Linked DNA regions of Arabidopsis thaliana. The protein of the gene in region 1 interacts with the protein of each later gene in a pairwise test. Each region holds a gene or a part of one and is shown on either strand. Other genes may lie near its edges.

What was found. Proteins that work in one complex are often made in the same cells at the same time.
Region 2: the proteins of AGL66 (region 1) and AGL90 interact in a two-hybrid assay, tested with the Arabidopsis thaliana proteins (one large-scale study listed by BioGRID).
Region 3: the proteins of AGL66 (region 1) and AGL96 interact in a two-hybrid assay, tested with the Arabidopsis thaliana proteins (one large-scale study listed by BioGRID).

What each region holds. Positions count from the first base shown.
Region 1 is NC_003070.9:29,313,625-29,319,456, forward strand, and holds AGL66 (AGAMOUS-like 66), read right to left. Parts: upstream 3,563-5,832; 5' UTR 3,444-3,562; coding exon 3,259-3,443; intron 3,159-3,258; coding exon 3,105-3,158; intron 3,019-3,104; coding exon 2,986-3,018; intron 2,876-2,985; coding exon 2,857-2,875; intron 2,733-2,856; coding exon 2,671-2,732; intron 2,566-2,670; coding exon 2,538-2,565; intron 2,465-2,537; coding exon 2,403-2,464; intron 2,309-2,402; coding exon 2,209-2,308; intron 2,120-2,208; coding exon 1,787-2,119; intron 1,711-1,786; coding exon 1,588-1,710; 3' UTR 1,217-1,587; downstream 1-1,216. Other genes in the region: AST56 (STAS domain / Sulfate transporter family), read right to left, coding at 4,341-4,493, 4,601-4,677, 4,784-4,878, 4,997-5,190. UniProt on the Arabidopsis thaliana protein: Probable transcription factor that forms a heterodimer with the MADS-box protein AGL30 and is involved in the regulation of pollen maturation at the late stages of pollen development and pollen tube growth.
Region 2 is NC_003076.8:9,990,667-9,995,249, reverse strand, and holds AGL90 (AGAMOUS-like 90), read left to right. Parts: upstream 1-2,479; coding exon 2,480-3,136; intron 3,137-3,259; coding exon 3,260-3,565; downstream 3,566-4,583. UniProt on the Arabidopsis thaliana protein: Probable transcription factor.
Region 3 is NC_003076.8:1,980,041-1,984,223, reverse strand, and holds AGL96 (AGAMOUS-like 96), read right to left. Parts: upstream 1,781-4,183; coding exon 1,052-1,780; 3' UTR 1,019-1,051; downstream 1-1,018.

The DNA of each region.
Region 1 (5,832 bases):
GAGATAATGATTGGTACATTGTTCTGATTGGATTCTACCAAAATAAGTCATCACTGAATTGTGAAAATCCCAAATGTCAGAGCTCTATTGCTTTCTCTAGATTTTGTGGATGTGTTTCATTAAAAGGCTTTTGCCAAGTTTCTACATCACTCATATCCTCTTAAAATAATAAAATTTGGAAATAAGACCACTTTTTCGAGGACAAATTTGAAAATAATATTGCTTTCAATGCAAAAATCATCCGTTTCATCGTTTTGACGGTTTTTCGTTAAGCTATAACAGATTCAAATTCAAACTACCTTCTTCAAGAGCAAAATCTATTTTGTAGTCATTGTGAATAATACATTTGATACACACTATTAAATTTCTGTGAATTTGTTTAACACATACAACTCAAATTCTACATACTAAGTTACTAACCTTTCTTTTTTTCATATATAGAGGACAGTTTTTACGTCATACCACTTCATCGTCTACGTAAGGTTATATAATTGATCTCTATGAGTATATATAAGATTTTTTTTTTTTTTTTTTTTTTTTGGGGGCACAAGTATATATAAGATTGTCTCACAAATTTCTTGATTGGTCCATTATTTATAGAATATATTGACTTTATTAGATACTACTTTTTTGTCAATGCATCTTAATTAGTGGATAACACATACGAGTTTGAAGTTCTTAGAAAATTTATAATAAAAGAAAAAAGCCTAAATTAATATTTTATGTTTTTTTTCCCAGATATCACACAAATTTATGGAAACCAGTGTTTTTTTTTTAAAATAGAAAAATGCATATGTTACTATTAGTCCTGATTTTATTTGTTTTATTTTTTTAAAGGATATTAGTGGGTCTGCGCACTTATAGAATGTTCGTATATACGTATGGCGTTTTATTCTCTTTTAATGAATTGGTGAGAGACATAGTCTCCTCCTATTCTACCAAAAAAAAAAAAGATTAATATAGAGGTATATGCATTTGCATGTATTACAAGTATTGAGCAACTGCACCCACTAAAATTCGATAGATCAAAATAATTTTCTAAATACTAACCATAGTGTCTCCACTAGAACGTTTAAACCCGCGTACGTTAGTGATATCAAATAAAAAAACTAAAAATTTTAAAAAATCACTCTTTCCGTTTTTTGTTTTTTTGTTTTAAGTTAAATTTCTCTTTCAACTGTTTTATACTTAAATAAGTCCAAACAAAATTATGATTATCTTCACTCAACCAAAAGTTGAATGATCTTTTAAAAAAATTAGACAAGCAAAATTGACATAATCATATGCATATTTGAGAGCAAAACATGTTTTTCATGTTTTATATACATAATATATAGTATATACATTGTTTAACAGTAAAATGTTTTTTTTATAATAGAAACGTTATGTACAATATACAAGTCAATAAAAGGTTAAGGTCTTAACTCTTAAGTGTGGAAGTTGTGTTTTATATAAACATATATATAGTAATATCTTGTCTTCATAGATAAATAAAACCGTATATATATTGTTAACTTTTCTAAAAAATAAAAGAAAAAACGTATAAATTATGTCAATAATATATGGTAAAATTGAAATTCCTTGAGATTATTGGCTACTGAGCTGAGGCATTCTTATATCATAGTCGGAGACCTCGTGGTCTGCTTGTGCATCCTTCTTCATAACCGGTATTTCAATTTCTTCTATATTGGGATCAACCACCAGTCCATGCTAACATATTTAAAAGCAAAAAAAAAAATTAGTGAAACAATTTTAATTTATTTCGGAAAAAGAGAAAATATAGAACCTGATGCTGCATAGGAGGAAATAGAGTCGAAGGGTTATGGGCCGTAGTAGAATTATAGGCTTGGGCCCATTCTTGAAACATGTCACCGTTATGATTTGACACATTGGATTCACCCATAATGTTGTTTTGGTTCGAGCTTGAGCTACTTCCTTGCAATAAAGTTTCATACATTGCTGAATGTGCCGATGCGTCGAATAAATGGGCTTCGTTAGGCCCATTTTCAGTCAGCCATCCTCCAACGACGTCGTTTCCAAAAGGCCCACCCATGCTTTGCTGTTGTTGTAAAGCAGATGCTTCATATGAAGATAATTGGTCTTGACTCAATATATGTTCCTGCGTCTCAAGAAATTATTTAGTTACTAATAGATATTGTTGAATACATTATGCTTAGAAAAAAATAAAGGGGAGTTTAAATTATTGACCCGTCGTTGATTGACACGTGTTAAGGTGTCCATGAGCTGCTTCTCACAAGTTTCGTACTCTTCCATTGTTGTAAACCTGATTGGATCTGGTTCGTATTTCCTAATTATATATATAATTTGGATATAAGTATTAGTTACATAAATTTTCATACATTGTATCACATTCACTGTGTTTTTGGTTATAAAAAGAAGACCTTAGTTCTTCCTCTGCCATGAGAAGTTGTTGTTGTAACTTATAAACTTCATGCTCAAGTTCCTAAAATTGATGATTAGAGAGTAAATAACATAAAGTAAAGTTATTAGCTAGAGGAAAAAAATAGAAGATTCACCTCGACGTCGGAGTTGATAGCTGTAGGGCTTTTTTAAAATCATCCAATAAGAGAAAAATAAAGAAAATCAACTTCCGAATTATTGCAAATAACGTAGTTATATAATAATGAAAGTAGAGAAAGAATTTGAGACTTGGTAAGTTGAAGAGCAATATCATTCTCAGCCTTGAGTTGCTGCAAAGTCCGGAGTAGATACTGTCACGTGACAAGAAAATTTCGAGATCAATAATCTGAAATGTATAATTGTCCTTCATTGAAAAGGAGCTAGGTATATATACACACATGACACATGCACAATATGCTTAATCTAATTACATACCTCTTTGCTCTGGAAATCTCTGCAAGATAGAGTTGTCAAAATATGAAAAACTCAATTAGATTTTGATGATTATAAATATACGGTTATTATATGTTTAATTATTTATCGGAATAAGAGTAAGATACATACGGGCGTCGACTTTGATCGGGGAATACTAGAGCACTAAAACAAAATGAAAGAGAAATATTAAGAACAAATGAGTGGAATATCTTTAGAGAATCTATTAAAGCCTTGAAAGGTCAGCTTACTTCTCTCGTTCTTGATCAGAAAGATTGATGTATCTAGAGAAAACGTCTTCAATCCTGACAAGAGTTTAACGAATAAATATAGATCAAATGAATGTTTCCATGTTTTGTACAATTAACCGAAAGAAAATGTTATAAGACAACAACAACAAAAAACCTTGTTTTGCCCGAAAAGAGGCTAAGGCGATCAGAGGGAGAGAACATGAGGAGAGCAATGTCGATGTCACAAAGAATGGACAATTCATAAGCTTTCTTTATAAGACCATTTCGTCTTTTGGAGAATGTAACTTGTCGATTCGTTGTGTTTTCTATTCGTTTTATCTCCAATTTCACTCGACCCATGTCTCTTATATCCGATCAATGCAACCAACAAACTCAAAGACTCTTCTTTATTTTGGTTTAGGGAATGCGAAAATCTGATCATTGGAGGCAAAAGTGCCTATATATATATGAGAGATGTACGGACGAGAGAAAAGAGAACCATGAAAGAAGGAGAGGTTAGGTATAAGAGAGATTTGGTTAGAAATGTATGGAAGAGATTAAGAGAGATTAAAAGGGTTTTGTTCTTTGAACGAATTAAGAATATGATGTTATTTTTTGCCACAGAAAATTCATATAGGAGTATTGGGATCAATTAATAACGTTCAGATTAACCAGCATATATCGTTTATTTTGTCAATAATTAATTGTAAAAACAAAACATAAAAGTCAACTAGTCCTCTTTACCTCGCAATGGCTACTCTCTCAGCATATGGAGAGGCTTCGGCAATATCTACTTAATGGTCAAATATTTGACTTTCCTTCAACGGCTATATTTTCCGACCGTTAAACACTATCTCAAGGTGTTTTTGCTTAAACATTGTGAATTGTTCGTGATGATGTTCAAAGTGGAAGATTCATATGATTATTCACTCACCAAGACACCAATGTAAGTTCTGATTCCAATTCACTGCTATATATATCCTTGTATTATTTTATTTATTTTTCTTAAAAAAACACTTAGGAATGTAAACCAAACCAAAAGATGTAAAAAAAAATTGTAAGCCAAACCAAAAGATGTAAAAGAAAATAAAAAGAAAAAAAGAAAAAAAAGAAGAAGAATATTTTGTAGCCTTATGCATTGAAATTTGTACTTTTTAGTCAGGTGTACATTAAATAAAAACTATAGGCTATATGAGAAAACAATAAAATTATCACTAGGTTATATGTTTGAGTTGTACTGTTTCTTACATATATATATCAACACAACTCGTGGGACGTAGATCTTGCTCTTACATAAATATCTACGGCTTCTCCTACTGTCATATATATATTTTCTGTCTTTATTTTCTCGTCCAATTTTGCTCGCTTCAATTTGTGAAGTACCCTCCATCTGGGACTAGCGATGACTAACTGCAGCCCACAAACATAAAACAAATATTGGTAATTTGAAAATCCAATGAACCCACATATGTAACTATAGTGAATGAATAACATTTGATTGAGAAATAAAGATGTACCCGGATGTCATTAGAAGCTAGCTCTTGATGTAGTTCTTCAAGTGCAAATACTCCTGATGTATCTACGCCCATCACGCCTTCACCAATATTTTGTTACATGTAAGATTCAGTACCTCTACTATATATACAATAAAACATTTTCTATAAATTAGTATATCATGATAGAATGTGGGATGTGCTTACAAGACATGTCGAGAATTACTACTTGAAGACCATTTTCTTTTAGAACTTCTTGTTCATTCTCCTCTCCTTCTATTTCTTGAACTGAATTCAATATTCTGAAAGAAGAAAAAATATTTATTTTTTTTGTCAAACTGATAAGAGTTTCACAAGAGTAACTAATGATGTTTGAACAAAAAAAAAAAAAAAAGAAGAAGATAAATATTGATTAATGACCTGTCTCTTATAAAATTGGCATTAGCAAAGCATAGCAAAGGAGAACTGATTCGAAGAGTCAATAATCCTGCAGTCTTATTTGCCATTGGATACTGATTTATGTCACCGAAGATATCTGTTTTTGATAACCTCCCTAAGGCCTCAATGCTTGGTCTTATCGAACTCAACATTATTCTTGCAAACGATATCCCCACCTACATATATACAAATAACTCTGTTATATACATAGTCTTATCCATCAAAATTCACAGTGTAAGATCACAACTGATTAAGCTGATCAAAAGGATAAAGATCGATCACAAGTATCCATTCTCACAGCCAGTTTTTCAAAGGTACTTTAAACATATGTATTTGATTTTTTGTGTACTTATTTGCCACTTGAATGAAACAGTATACATTATTGATTGTTTTGTCGTACAGGGTCTGTCTATGCACAGCGAATTTGGTCGGCCTAGTAGCATTTTTATATAGCAGTTTTATTGGTTAGAAAATATATGAGATATCGACGCTTTTGTTGTCTATAGGAATAATTCACATGATTGAATATAAAGAGTTTTGTTGACTTCCTCAGGGCATCAATCAATCTTGAGTAAAAACAATAGTTTCAATTATATAGTTAATAAACTAGATCATAACCCGTGCTATTAATATTTTGTATAAATTAAATTGTATATTTTGTTATGTTTGTTATGTTTGTCAAAATTATTTGTTATATTTGTCAAAATTTAGTAAAATATATTCAAATATAATTAAATTTATTAAAACTTAATAAATTTAAAAGTTTTTTTTGTTTGGAGACGCACTATCTACATACAAAATACCCGTTTCTATTTTTT
Region 2 (4,583 bases), on another chromosome or scaffold:
AACGCTTAAAAAACAAAATTCGTTCTTTCAAATAGTTTTCAATTTGACATTTACATAAATCTCTTTTGAAGCAGATAACAAACCTCTACCAAAACTTTTCTACAAGCTAAGATATTATATTATTGAAATTGTATGTTTTTATCTTGATAACTAATAAAAGCAGTCTAAAATTCTTAAATGTGGGTTCCAAAGCTATAATTGGATCATATTTTCTTACCAATTCTCTCATGTCTACATAAAGCTATTTATTTTAGGGATATAAATAAGATAAAAAAATATGGTAATGCCAGCTAAATTACTCTTCATTATTAGCTGGTAAAATTTATTTCTAAAAGTGCAATAAAAAATATATAATATCTGGTCAATGCCCCAAAAGGTATAATATCCACATGATTTTATAAATTATAATTTTATATCCAATCATGTTTATACATGTGTACCTGCATTAATATCCATTTGAATGTAAAAAATAATAAAAAAAGCAAAAATCATATTACTGTATTAAACTCTTGATTTTACCCAAATTATGCATATATTTTCTAAATGTAAATAATTTTCATAAATAATTTTTTTATATGTCATTATTAATAAATAAATAAATAAATACATGTAGTCATATTAATGTATTAAACTCTTGATTTTATCCTTATATGTAGTCCATTTTTAAAAATACTCATTCTCTTGAGCAAAAATACCAAATTACTCTCATCTAATGAGAACAAGTAATTTATAAACTGAAATTTTCCCGCTAAAAGTTTTTTTTCCCGCCAAAGTTTTTTCTCTGTAACAAATTTTTTTCCAGCTAAAAACATGCATTTAAAAATCCTTATAAAGTGTTTTAAAAGCTTTGTAAATTTGTTAAAAACCCTTGTGAATCATTTTAAAACCTATTAAAATCTTTATAAAGTTTTTAAATATATATGTAAATACTTAAAAACCCATTTTAAAACCTTTGTTTTACATTTTAAAACCTTTTACAATGATTTTAAAAGATTTACAAGAATTTTTAAAGGATTTAAAAGGATTTTAAAAACATTTGTAAATCTTTTAAAAACCCTTGTAAATCCTTTAAAACCCTTGTAAACAATTTAAAAATCTTTTAAAACCCCTTAATAAATTTTGAACCATTTTAAAACTCTTATGAACCTCTTACAAAATATTTTAAAAACCCTTGTAAGTCCTTTAAAACCCTTGTAAACCATTAAAAATCTTTTCAATTTCTTGTAAACCCTTTAATAATTTTTAAACCATTTTAAAATTCTTTAAAAATATTTTAAAATTCTTTTAAAAATCTTTTTTAATCTTTTAAAAACCCTTGTAAATCTTTTAAAACCTTTTTAAAATGTTTTAAAATCACTTGTAAATCTTTTAAAACCCTTTAAAAATATTTTAAAATCTTTTGTAAATCTTTTAAAAACCTTTTACACTTTATAAAAATCTCTTAAAATCCCTAATCTTTTAAAACTCTTTTACACCTTTTTTAAAAATCTTTTAAAATCCCTTGTAAATCTTTTAAAACCCTTTAAAATCTCATTTCAAAAATCTCTTAAAATCCTTTATAATTTTTTTTTGCGGAAAAAATGTTTTTAAGAAACCTTTTTGGCAGAAAAGTTTTTTTTAAAATTTTTTGGCCGGAAACTTTTGGCGGAAAATTTATTTTCAGAATATTTTTGGCGGGAAAAAATTAATATTTCATTTTTTACTTAAAACATTTTCTAAATAGGGGTAAAATGGTCATTAAAAATTAAGAGAAAGTATAAATGAAAATAACAAATAAGAAAATGCATTATTGAAAAGGATAGTGTTGAAAGGGCATTCATAACAATTATTCAAAGTTTTTGGCGTTTATGTGAGATGTTCTTTGCATATTTTCAAATTGTTTGCCCATTCTAAAAATTTATTTGTATGATTCAAAGTACATCTTTAAATTACTGTAGATAACAAACTTTCTGAAATTTACTTTAGATAACAAACTTTAGAGTAATTTCTAGCTTACCACAATTCTATATACATTGACAATATATTACTGTATTTTAAAAGTACAATCACTTAAAACTATTACAAAACTTCACATTCTAAGAACAAAGTAAGCTAGAAATTATTCTTAGTAAAAAAAAACAATGAGAGTAAGAGAAATTAATTCTTAGTATAAACAAAACTTAGAAATAAAAATATTATATTACATGCCCCCTCATATTACATGGATAGATTTTTTTCTTTTTTTTGTCATCAGATATTATTTAGGATCAGACGAGCCAAACTTTAGATAAGAAAAAATATTTTTATATAGATAATAATGAATTACCTGGTCAATTAATTGATAAGAGATTTCCTGGATGTTATTTAGAATTAATGAGTCCACCAAAGTGATAAGAATCCTAGTGACTATAAAATCATCTTTCTTTGCTATATAAACATTCTTTGAGTAAACAAATTAAACAAACCACACAAAACAAAACAAAAAAACATATTGATGGGGATGAAGAAGGTAAAGCTATCTTTGATAGCTAATGAAAGATCAAGGAAAACATCCTTCATGAAGAGGAAAAACGGGATATTCAAGAAACTCCACGAGTTGTCAACTCTATGTGGTGTCCAAGCTTGTGCTCTCATCTATAGTCCATTCATACCGGTTCCAGAGTCATGGCCGTCAAGGGAAGGTGCTAAAAAGGTAGCTTCAAAGTTTCTGGAGATGCCGCGGACAGCCCGAACCAGGAAGATGATGGATCAAGAAACCCATCTTATGGAGAGGATTACCAAAGCAAAAGAGCAACTAAAGAATTTGGCTGCTGAGAACCGAGAATTACAGGTTAGACGATTTATGTTTGATTGTGTTGAAGGCAAAATGTCCCAGTATCGTTATGATGCAAAAGACCTTCAAGATTTGCTATCTTGTATGAATCTATATCTCGATCAGCTTAACGGAAGGATCGAGTCCATTAAAGAAAACGGTGAGTCGTTGTTGTCTTCCGTCTCTCCTTTTCCTACTAGAATTGGTGTTGACGAAATTGGTGATGAGTCGTTTTCCGACTCTCCTATTCATTCTACAACTAGGGTTGTAGATACTCCTAATGCTACCAATCCTCATGTTCTTGCGGGCGATATGACTCCTTTTCTTGATGCGGACGCAAATGCGGTAACTGCTCCCAGTCGATTTTCTGATCATATTCAATATGAAAATATGAATATGAGTCAAAATCTGCATGAACCGTTTCAACACCTTGTTCCTACTAACGTTTGTGATTTTTATCAAAATCAGAATATGAATCAGGTTCAATACCAGGCTCCTAATAATCTGTTTAATCAGATTCAACGAGAATTCTACAACATAAATTTGAATCTGAATTTGAATCTGAATTCAAATCAGTATCTGAATCAACAACAATCATTCATGAATCCGATGGTGGAACAACATATGAATCATGTTGGAGGGCGTGAAAGCATTCCTTTCGTGGACAGAAACTACTACAACTACAATCAACTACCAGCCGTTGATCTTGCTTCCACCAGTTACATGCCTTCAACCACCGATGTTTATGATCCTTACATCAACAACAATCTCTAATCACAAAAGACGGAGATTTTCTAGTCTAAGTGTTCAGTTGTTTGAATTTGTGTTTTCTTCATTTCGAAAGACAAAAACTAATGTTGTTTATTAATAATGGTTGTAATGGTTAAAGGGTCTCTTTTTAACTTAATTATGTATTTTGATTATTAAGTAATGTTTTGCCCAAAAAAAAAAGATTATTGTGGGAAACTTTAACTGTGGAATTTATTTCGAAAATTTAATGTGTGATTGGTACAATATTTAGACGAAAGTTTTCATTTGAATTCTTTTAGGACCCATACGTAGAGAATAATTGTTTTCCCCAGCAATTTGAAGTAAGAAATATTATTCTTTGAATCAATTATGGATTTACCATTTTTTGGGATGGTATCTGTGGATTTTGCCCTTTTCTGAATAGTTTGTAGATTTTGCCTTTTTCACACTACGAAAATATGATTTAACATGTGTTTTATTCGTTATGTTTGGGTTTAGTCGGTTGTGCTTGTTCTTAGGATTTAATATTTTATATAAACTACGTATTTTTACCAAAAAAATCGGAAATACATACTTTTTTTAATGTTAGAAAATGGCATATCCATAAGATTTTAGTAAAAATGACAATTTCAAAAGATTTCTATGAAAAAATGGCAAAATCAACAATAATCTTTTTTTCTTTTGGAAAAAAATAATTTGATAACAAAATAAAATAAAAAAGAACTACTCTTATTCAATGTTAAAAAAATTGTTAGGCGCTAGTTAGGATTTTGATAGAAGCCTTGAGCCTATAACGATCAGTGCCTAGGTCGATTTTTTTTTAACATTGTTCCCATTCTTTTGGGCTCAAAAAAATGAGGTAGAAAATTTTTTCTTCCAAATTTTGCACCAGTTAGACCCTAAGTCATTTTTAAAAGAAAAAAAGTGTGGGTAGTTTTTAGTCTTTCAATTATAATAAAAATGTATAACTATATAGATAATATTAGAGATCTGTGTAAATCACCTAAATACTGTTTTAGGAAAAATAAAACTTTTGATAAGA
Region 3 (4,183 bases), on another chromosome or scaffold:
AGAAAATAACCTGATGAGCTGTCAAAGAAAATAAAATGATATCTTTCCTTTTATTTCTTAAAAAATACACCAAGATTTCTTTTCTTTTACTTCTTAAATACAGTAATTAAGATATTTCCTTTTAATTATTTTTATGATATGTATATTGGTTTATATAGAAAACTAGATATGCATGCCCCATAAATTCTTATTCCTACATTTGGGTCATGCATTCCTTTTATGATATCATAACATTTCATTATTTAGAGATAGTCAAACTTATTACTTTAATTGATAATAAAGAGAGGTCAAACAAAGAAAATAATAAGTAAATATATTCATTAGCTTCTAAAGTTTAAACATTTTTCACATTAAAGTTTCTTATTTTTGAATGCAATTGAATTAAGGTGCATGAGCCAAGCGACTTAGTCGTTAAAATGAGAATAATTTCTCTTGCAAACAACTTGCAATTTTGGGGGTTGAATGGGTAATAATACAATAAAAACACTAACACAAATTAATAGGATACAAGTCCATAGTAATTAAAATAATTTGTTATAGGAGAACAAATGAATTGATTATATTAAGGAAAATATAAGTGTTGACCATAAATAGATAATAAAACGTAGCATATAGATGTTTCATTTTAAGTTTCAAAATGCGTCCAAAAATGAACAAAACTATGTACGATGCATGAGAATGATAATATCTCTAATAATTTACGTGCATAGCATGACAATGATTATCTTATTAAAATACGATGCTCTAGAAAAATTAGGAAAAGTTAAAAAAAAATGCCCTAACATTTTGCACAAATTTGTTAAATACGGATGAGTTCTTCAAAACTGCAAAGAATAGTAAAGAAACAAACATTCGATTAAAATTAAGTTGACATGACAAGCAAATACAAGAGTTTAACACATAACAAGAGACATGATAAAAACTTGACCAAAACATAGAAAAACTAGAGATACGAAACGAGCAAGAAAAACAACAATAATAGAAAAAGAACAACATTAATTATTTCAAGAAAACTTCAAGACAAGTTGTCATGTCAACTTTGACGGCAGCTTCATTCGGCATCGTCTTCAGCACCACCGGCCATGCTGCTCTCTCCTTTATAGGTCCCCAAGTCTTCATCAGATGGTTCCATGTTTAGGTCTAAGCCACTGACCATTGTGGGTAAATGAGTCTCAACATCACAAGGGTTTTGGACTTGTGGATCAACGAAGACCCATTTATCAACATAATAGAAACTTCTTCCAGTTTCCATCATGTTTAACCCATTTCCACCTGACCCAGACGCAACATTCGAAGCCCTCAGGGCGTCGACCCCCGTAGAACCCATCCGTTTACTCAACCACATAAGTTTCTTATCCGCATATGGTATTAGTTTATCAGCCTCGGTTGGGGAGAGATCAGCAAGTTCACGACCATTTTGGACTTGGAACATGAGTTCGTCCATCTCAAACTCCGTGATAACCTTCCGAGTATCGGCTCGTTTCTTCTCAATCTTTTCGATAACGGTCTGGACGTATGACTCCGGATCAACGGCCTTCATGGTCCTTTCATGGTCGGTTAGAGAATAAAAGTTGTCGATGAGTGAATTAGCTGCCTCGGGAGATGGCCACGCCGTCAATTGTTCTTCTTCTCGATTGAAAACGACCACACTAGCGCGCATATCGCACAGAATGGACAGTTCATTCACTTTTTTGATAAGCCCCGTTAACCTCCTCTTGAGGCTTGCCCTCCTCATCCTATCGTCACGGATCCATGCAGCTCGTACTTTTTTCCGAGCCATGGCTAAGGATCACTTGGAATTGTTTTTTTCTTTGTGGTGTGAAAACTAAGCATCCTAGGTGTGGTCTTATATAAGAAAAGCCTAGGATAAGAGGTTGAACGGGGAGAATTTCCATGGTTGTAGTCTCCAATTGAGAAATGTTTGAATAGATTTTTTGGTAACTTAATTAGTGGGAAAATAGTATGTTTCTCCTCTATTCTACTAGGATTTAACCGCGGGGCAATATTTTTATTTTATGTATTTTATATAATAATTTATTGTAAAAGTGATATAGTACTAATTTTGGTAAACATTTATAATCGTGGACTAATATAATATTGTTTAAAGTTTAGGATTATAGAAATATATTTTTATATTTAATTTTAAGATTTTACGCGTGGTATATATTCCATAATATCAATCCAAACCGTTCTACCATATAACTCTATCATGTGAAATTAAACAGCATTTTTTTGTAATAATATTATTGTTTAAAAATTTCAATTTTACTGGAATGAATTTGGAATGAATTTTATGGAATAAATTTAGTCAGAAAATTTTGCAATTTTGTGAAAGCATTAATGATTGTCTTACCAAATATATAAAACAAATGAAGAATAGTAATGTGAGAGTGTTGCCAACGTTTTTGTTGTAATTGGGCTTATCTAATGACGAAAGTAGTGGATCTATATGTAAAAGTCCATATGGACCTGGAAAATAACAGTTTTAAGTATTTGTAAATCGTAGTTTGTTGGACTTCGAAAATATATAATACAGACACAAATCATTTAATGTCAAGAGAATTACAATAAATGCATAAGCCAAATGAATTTTTTGCCAAAATGTGTTAAAAATGTATATATATATATATATATATATATATATATTATCATATTTTCATGTAGCTTTTCATTTCGTTTTACAATATGTCAATTGTATTTTAAGTATCATCAACATTCAGCACTTTCTTTTCTTTAAGAATTTTCTGCTTTTTTTTTTTAATAGTAAGATAAAAAAAAAAATAGTAAGATATATATGTATATATATATATATAGATCTATTTGTATGTGAAAAAATGCTGTTGAGGGAAAAAAAAGAGAATACATGCATGCAGCTTTTCCTCTAAGTACGATACACAGACGATGCCATCGTGTTTGCTTGTTCCCTCAGCACTCGAGTGTACGTATAGTGTCCATGGAGACCTAGAAAAAAGATATTGATTAGGCTACATTTTTGTAAAAACATATAAAATAATCTTACAAATCCATCGTGATGATTTCAAATATTCGTATATTCTTAATTGTGTTAACGTATATATTTATAACATAGATAACAAAATAATTGAAAACTTTAGAATTTAGATATCATAATCAAGATGTTTGAAGAAATAGAGAACATGTGACATGTCTATTTTTTTAATCTAATTATATTAAAATAAGAGCAATGACCTACAAGGCTACAACCTAAGAAATAAATAGTAGTATTAACTTTTTTTTTGTGGCGAGGTGAACTCTTTCGATTAAAAGATCCTGCATGGCTGCATATATAGGTGAAAACAAATATGTCGTATGAAATGAGATACTAAAACCTTAATAATTAATTTGTGATTTGTAGAAAATATAATAAAATTGATAAAAGATGTAAAAAGGAGGAACGACAAAACATTGAAAAAAGATATTTACGTACGCGCAAACAGAATGGAATGGATACATAAGAAAATATTAGTCGGGGGTATTAATGGAGGATATCAGTAATTAAGAAGGAAATATGAGATTTTAATAGGTTCAGCTTACCGATCACTTGCTTGCACCCCCTTTAAATATTGATTCTATGTTCACCTTTCAAATCCAATTAGAATGCATACTGCTGAGCCAACAGAAAAAAAAACATGGTTAATGAAGACGTGACTCAATTAACAAGAGGAATTTGGTAAATAATGATGAGCTAGAGAAAGCAATTGCAAAATGCAGTCCCCAAACCAAAACTAAACCAAGATAACCAAACCCTAAAAGTACTCCCATCGCAGAGTTCTTAACAAAGTTTTCACTATTTCTTCATGATTTTAAATGTATAATTACTTCTGTCTTATTTATTACTTAAAACTAAATAGATTGATAAAAACTCTTAAATGAAATTTCTACTGATCTGGAGATGCTCTAAACCTCCTCCCCTCATCAGATACTAGATATTAGATATCTACCCAATCAAATCATGTACTGACAACTAGATTTGTGCATAGCTAGTTGTCAATACGATAAAACACTAACAAGCCCACACAAACATCAACACAATCCACAACAGTACAATATCTACTATAACTTACATGAAATTACAACCTCGTAAAAAAGCACTAATTAACAAGCACATACAAACTTAATTAGGCCACTTTCCCAAATTTACATTCCCAAATACACAGTAAATATC